Linked DNA regions of Oryzias latipes. The protein of the gene in region 1 purifies or fractionates together with the protein of each later gene. This does not show direct contact. Links are inferred from orthologs where the notes say so. Each region holds a gene or a part of one and is shown on either strand. Other genes may lie near its edges. The genes, in order: xab2 and aqr.

Region 1 (3,460 bases):
TGATGTAAGTCACTGAGAGTTCTTTCTTCTCCAGTCAGTTTGAAAGCAGTTTTAAACTTTCTTTAGGTTATCTGCTAACTGGGTCTCAAATGTTGGTTTTAATGAACATTATGTACAAAGATTATACATAAACTAAGGTTTTAAAATCTGCTAATGCTTGGTGATATTGATGCAGTGACATTGATGCACTGCAGATTACTCTGTCTTCAGCACACAGGGATTACCAAATTATATTTTCTTTTGTAAAACATTTACTGTAAGAATCAAATGGGTTTTACTTGAAACAGATTTCAAACTTCATGGTGGATAGAGTTTGCACTTATCTCTGCTGTACTGTGTGCTTACTAATTTTAGGCAAGAACAATTTTTGAGAAGGCTACCAAAGTGAACTTCAAGCAGGTGGATGACCTTGCTGCAGTTTGGTGTGAATACGGCGAGATGGAACTTCGTCACGAAAACTATGATCAGGCACTCCGCATACTGAGGGTAAGACACTCGTATCACAAGAAACATGCTTGTTTAACGTTTAGTTTGCATAATCTCTCAAGTTCCTTATTTATGAAAAAAAAAACGTTAGTGTCTCTGAACTAGGCCTGCACAAGAAAACGCAAATTTACCATTATCGGAATATCAAGCTGTTTAATACGCATATTGCAAATGGTGGCGAAAATTGCAATAAATGGTTACCTTAAATGTGCTAAAACGATCTTATGACATCGTGAAGTATTTAACAAATCAAATAGATCTATTTATCCATTTGACCAATCAGATGGACGCCTTCAGGTTTTTGACCAATCAGATCAGGGGTCGGGAACCTATGGCTCGCGAGCCATATATGGCTCTTTTGATGGTCACATGTGGCTCGCAGACAAATCTTTAATTATAGTTTTTTTTTTTCATTAGACCAGTCCTTCTCGGGCGCGATGCGATGTCAGAGGCGCGCAGTAGTAGCGGTGCTTAGAGAGACAAATCTGCGCCAGCGCTATCAGTTACTATTATCTATTATTTCACAGAGTTTGTACCAGCTGGAAACCTGTGAATTGACGTGCCTAAAACTGCGCGCTCCCGTCTCTGAGAAAGAGCGCGCAGATGCGGGGACGGGATGTGTGAGGGAGAAAGCAGAGGGTGGGGCTGAGGTGTTGTGGGGACAGGCAGCAGGTGAATCGCGCAGGGATTGTAAAAACGTAAAACCCGCTTCCCGTCACTCACTGCAGCGTGTGAGTGTGTGTTTGACTCCCCGTCTGCATGTGAGCAGTCTGTCTCACATCTATAGAACATTCAGACCTACGATGACGTTTAAAGTCTCAACGCCTGAACGAAGCAGAAACTCACCACGTATCAACCAGACTAGACCATCAGCAAAACTACCACGAGAAATACTCATCATTTATTAGCAACAGAATAACAATGTTATTAAAAAGAATCCACAGACTTATTTTACTTTAAAAATGTTAAAATTAAATCAAATGCACACATTCATTTGTATATTTAGTTTTAAACAAATTGTCGCGGACTGAGTTGGATGGCTGTTGGGCCGCGTTAAAAGTTCTGGAGTTCATTGAACGCGTCAAGCAGAGATCTGATTGGCTCTCAGTTCTGTCGCTCAGCCTGTTGTTAGGTAGTTTGGACCAATGGGGTTCAGCTATGGGCCGAATAAGGGAAATGGGAGGGCTGCAGCGGGAGCAGGGGAATATAAAGTTGGGAGAAGCGCTCTCGTCTCGGTGGGAGAGATTCAGGAGTTGCTGAATTAATTGAAGGGCGTTTGTTGCGGTCTGCAGTAATCGGAATAAAGAACTTTAAAAGAGGTTAAGTCTCCGTGCCTCAGTGTGGGGAAAGGACACTACATTATTGTATGGCTCTTTCGAAATTAAATTTCAAAATATGTGGCATTTATGGCTCTCTTGGCCAAAAAGGTTCCCGACCCCTGAATCAGATGGAGCTATTTTATGTTAGATGTTCGCCTTCTATGTAGACAAGGGTCATTTGGGGTATAATTTAAGTTATGTTTACTCTGATTTAAATTAAACAGTTGCAGTGAAAATGAAATGATAATTTTGGTTGTTTTGCTATTTGTTCATGTACCGCAAGTTATATCGTCATCACAATATTGATCACTAATATTGCATGTCATGTGTTTTCCTCACATCGTGCAGCCCGAATCTGAACAATAGATACAAGTGAATTATACTCTTGCAAAAAAATTTTCACTGCTATGAAACAGAGCATCAATGACAATGAACGGTGTTGCTACAAGCACGTTATAACCATACGTTTTGCACCATCTAGTGGCAGAGTTGAGAACTGCATGACACAGCTTTGTAGTTGGGTAACCCTTGTGCTATCCTAGGCACTTTAGCATTGGGAGTTGGGTCATCTAGACCCCGTAGACAGTGCGCTGAAGCTTTTTTTTTCATTGATTTGTTATCTTCACTGGTGTCCATGGATTTCATGAAATCTTTCCACCTTTATCCACCTTTGTCATGGTAGGGAGAACACATCTATGTAAGGGTGGGGTCATCCCATGTTCCTTTTTTTTTTTTGTTTATTTCAAGTAATGTCATCACGGAAAGCTTTTCTTGATGTTTGGTCAATTAAATAGTTTAAAGTTTTAAATACTAGAATTTATTACTCAAAAGAGATATTGTTTTTTTTTATTTAGTTATTGGGGAATGTTTCCTCACAAATTACACATTTTTTATGTCTTGAACAGAATTTGGAAAAAGTTAACTCCAAAAATATGCATTAGTGGCCCCACGGATTTTTTATTTTTTCTATTGCATTTAAAATGTCTGAATATTTGTAGAAAGCCACAGCCATCCCATCAAAGAAGGCAGAGTATTTTGATTCATCTGAGCCGGTCCAAAACCGAGTCTATAAGTCCCTGAAGGTTTGGTCTATGCTGGCAGACCTGGAGGAAAGTCTCGGCACCTTCCAGGTTTGTTCATTGTATGTTTTGAGAAAAATATATTCTAAAATCCAAAAGTGTCTAGTACAGTTTAATTGCTAAGTGTGTACCTAGATCTGGCTGTCTAACTCCTCTTTGGCTTTTTTTACAATCCCTCCCACAGTCTACAAAAGCAGTATATGATCGCATTATTGATCTCCGCATCGCCACTCCGCAAATCATCATCAACTATGCCATGTTCCTGGAAGAGCACAATTACTTTGAGGAAAGCTTCAAAGTAAGAGTCTGCAAATAGATATTGTTCATTCTGGTTGGCTGGTAAATTGTACCAGTTCTTGTTTTGTATCCCTTTGATAATTTTCTATACCTGGGAAGAAATACAGGTGTTTGCGGTTTTCTGAAACATTTCTTTTAATGCTTTTCAGGCATACGAGCGAGGAATCGCACTTTTTAAGTGGCCAAATGTGTATGACATCTGGAACACCTACCTCACCAAGTTTATTGACCGTTATGGTGGCAAGAAGCTGGAACGAGCCAGAGATTTATTTGAACAAG
Region 2 (3,827 bases), on another chromosome or scaffold:
TCTTTCTGCGTAAGAGCATTTCCTGTCTGATCATTGATCTCAAAACCAGAGTAAAACTTTAGCATGTCGAGAAGCTGAAAAGAACAAATAACACCAATTAGGATTTCTTCACGGAGAAAACAGGTTTTCAAAGTCACTAAAAGCTTGTTTTACCTGACAAAAGAGGTGGCCCTCCGTTTCTCTTTTAAGGAGGCCAGAGAGTTGGCAGCTGACCACAAGATGAGAGTCGTCCAGCATTGTGTTGAACCATCGTCTGGTGGGCAGCAGCGCCTGGAAACACAGGGAGGCCATAGCATTTGTACTTTTGAGCAGACATGAACGAATGCTTTTGTAAGAAAGAAAGCCATTTAAAAAACTAATTAATTGCATTTTCACCAACATTTTAAACAGGAAGGGTAAAACAAAGCAACTGACTTAACAATTACCAAGTTTTTCAGCAAGTCAACCCCATTTATGAGAGGAAAACACAGCACATCATAGTAAATTTAAAAAGAATCAGCCAGATTCCCAACCGAAAGATATACATTTCAGCTTCATGATTCAAAACTGCCTTTTAAAGACAGCAGCTGCAGCGCCTGCATCCCTAACTATAAATCAAATAATTCAATATCTATAAGCCACCTTTGAGTGTAACCCTTCGGACGGAATAGGATCCTTTTCCCTGCAATCATATTTAGATTCTCGTCAGAATGGGAAGTATGGATTTCTTGCGATTGAGGCTTTGTGAAAGGATAGTGCTGAAGGACATGAAAAGTCTCTGGAGACAGTAGGCTAGCTGACCACAAGCTGCTGGCAGGAACTGCAAGGCTAACCTGTCAGCAAAGAGCCAGATGAAATCTATTGAGCGTCTGTGTTAGACAGATTTGATCTGCTAAGGCAGCAGAAATGATCGTCTTGTGGCACAACATGTCTTCACAACAACCTCATTTGAAGGCTTGACTGTTCTCCATTCCCGTCTTTTTTTAACACAACTTTATATCTTTATTTTAAGACTGTCGGCACGATTTTGCTAAATGTAAAACACTGATATCTACAATTATTCATTTCCAACAAATTAAAAAGATACACACAACAATCACTAACCTAAAAATGACGTATCCCCATAACTTCCTGTTTGAGGCAGATATAAAACATAAACTAACTTCATCCTGGTGGAGTAACTAATCCCTATAGGAGGTTTTGAACCAGTAGGTCAGTTCTCATTCACTCTTAATGACTAACAGTCTTGCACCATTATTGTTTTTTTATCTCTATGGATAGGTTTAACATAGATGTAAACTTTAATAGGGGCAAATTTGTCATAGGCTAATCATTTGGTATCATTTTCACATTCAAAACACAATCAAACATGGATAATATCTCTTTACAACAGTCGTTCTTGGTGTGCTCCAATAGCCTTTTGGCTTGGTTCTCCCATTTAGTCACCGATTAGAGGAAAGGTTGTGTTTTACTGAGATATATCCTCCCAAAATGGTGACAAAACCAAAGACTGACTTCATACCCAATGGGTTATGTTTCATGTTTTCTTTCATTGACAGTCGTTGGTCAGAAACAAAAGTTTGATTTGACAGAAAAGAACTCACCATCAGAACATTTTGCGCCTTTCTGACTGTAGATCTTTTTAGGGGAATGGCTAGGAGCTAAAAAAATCTTTCAAAATAAATGATTATCTTATATTCTTGCTAATATGAATTCAAACTAAAACTTGAATTAATTAACTTTTATTTCTAAATAGAACTAGGCAATAAACCAAAGCCCATTTCCCCAGACATTGCCCTCAGTAGGAGCTGGAATTTGACATTTATCAAACACCCTGTGACAAAAATTTGATTAGAGTGAAATTAAAAGGTAAACGATGATTAAATTCTAAAACACCTGTACTAACACCATAGTAATGACGTATTACTTTGTTCATGACTGATTCTAGACATAATGTCAGTGGACATGATCTCAGTTTTTACATATAAACTTTAGTTGAGTGAAAACCAAGAGTGGGATGTAAAGTTCAAATTAAAAATCTGTCTTACCTCCAAATCAATTATGAGCTCAATGAATCTTTCACAATAATGGACTTTGTCCATTGACAGAGGCCCTGTGGTAAACAGACATGAAAAAGATTTTACTTCAGATACACAATGTTGTTCATTTAAAGTGCGAAACATGAGTAATAGACTGTCCCAAAATGTCAGGAAGCTAGATGGTAACATTTCCAAAAAATCTGAAGCCAGCAAACATGAAGAAAACACCAACCTGCCTTGCTAAGTGGATGAGCTCTCACAATGAGAGGCTGCACGGCCAGCTCAGCAGCATGCTGGGAGCTCAGCCCTCATTAAGCATTCCTGTTCCTCTCTGTGTGTCTCTGTGTGTGCGCACTTAACGTGGAGACATACAGCAAGCCAATAGAGTGATGCTGACCCTGCTGGGTTTTTGCTTGTAATCAAGAGTGTCAGGTTGAATTTTATCTAAACACTCAGTTTTTAGCATTCTGATGGGGGGGACTCGTGTGTCGGCCTGTATCACGGCATCACGGCCAGCGCATTTAACTGTATAGAAGCTGGAGTGCATGTTTCTTAAGCTGCTGCACGACTCAAAGCAAGGCGACAAAATTATAAGAAAAAGTAGACATTAGCTGAGTGGCCTGGAGGTAAAGTGTCTGCCCGAAGGCTAGAAGATCGAGGGTTTGAGTTCCCGGTCATGCCATATCAAAGATGGTAACAATGGGACTCAATCCCACCTTAAGCATTAACTCAGCATTAGTTGGTTGGATTGGGGGATTAAACTGCCAAAATGTTTCCCTCACCAGTACCCCAGTGCAGAAAAAAAGTGCATACACCCAGTTGTGTGAGTTTTTGGAATGCAATACTACATTTAGTTTGGATATCAAGGTAATGGTAAATACAGGAATAAAGCTGAAAAAATCACATAAACACCTAAATCTGAATTGAAGTGCTGAACTAATATTTTCCAAGGACTTTTTTATTTAATTTTCCATCTTCCATTTGTGCATTTATGCTTTTTCCCCCCCAAACCAAACACATTTATTTACCTGTTGGTGGAACTGACATGAGAACGCCGAGAAACTTTTTAATGAGAGCTGAGAGAAAGGTCCTTTCTTTGATTGCCCTGGAGAAGATACAAAAAAATCAGAATTATCAAAATACAAACAATAAAGAGCAAACTTAAATTGGCGTAGATTTGATTCAAAACACCCAAAAAACAGGCTTACTGCTTAGCCGCATCAGCATCCATCTGGTCAAATTTCTTCTTGATTAGATTCCAGAACTTTTGCAGCTTTGGGACTTTTTTCAGCTCCTGCTGCAGCCTAGACTGCAAATATGATGCAAAAAAATGTAAGAATCCAATTTTTTGGAGAATTAGTAAACAGGGAAGAAGTCAGTGTTAAACAATAAATACACACAAGACAATATTATTTGAAAGAACACAAGATTGGGATGTGGAATGACAACCAGAACATAGGGCGGTAACTAGAAAATGTGAGCTTACTGGTAAGAGGCACATCCACATTGGCAGGGAGACGAGCTGCTGTACCTGTTCTCTGATCAAATCAACCTCCTGCATAGAACAAGAAGAAAGATGAAATGCAGTCATGGGATTTTTCCAAAAGCACAGCATGTGACAAATTTTAATGCACCTCAGCCCCTAATAAAAGTCTGAACTAAATTATTTACAAGCTTTTATGGCATACAATCAAAGGGCAGCAGGCTATCGCAGCAGATTTTAAATTGAGACGTGTGTTTCTTTGAGGTCTGATGCAGCTGTTAAGGATACAAACGACCTGCCAAGAGAAGCACTGCACGGGCTACCAC

Evidence for each region.
Region 2: the proteins of xab2 (region 1) and aqr fractionate together in Homo sapiens (co-fractionation; 3 studies listed by BioGRID and IntAct, with this or other methods). This does not show direct contact. The link is inferred for Oryzias latipes from reciprocal best matches to the Homo sapiens genes XAB2 and AQR.

Annotation. Positions count from the first base shown.
Region 1 is NC_019866.2:8,751,755-8,755,214, reverse strand, and holds part of xab2 (pre-mRNA-splicing factor SYF1), read left to right. Parts: coding exon 1-4; intron 5-354; coding exon 355-486; intron 487-2,803; coding exon 2,804-2,935; intron 2,936-3,068; coding exon 3,069-3,182; intron 3,183-3,330; coding exon 3,331-3,460. UniProt on the Homo sapiens protein: Involved in pre-mRNA splicing as component of the spliceosome. Involved in transcription-coupled repair (TCR), transcription and pre-mRNA splicing.
Region 2 is NC_019880.2:7,476,668-7,480,494, reverse strand, and holds part of aqr (intron-binding protein aquarius), read right to left. Parts: intron 3,574-3,827; coding exon 3,505-3,573; intron 3,328-3,504; coding exon 3,227-3,327; intron 3,124-3,226; coding exon 3,047-3,123; intron 2,093-3,046; coding exon 2,028-2,092; intron 271-2,027; coding exon 154-270; intron 75-153; coding exon 1-74.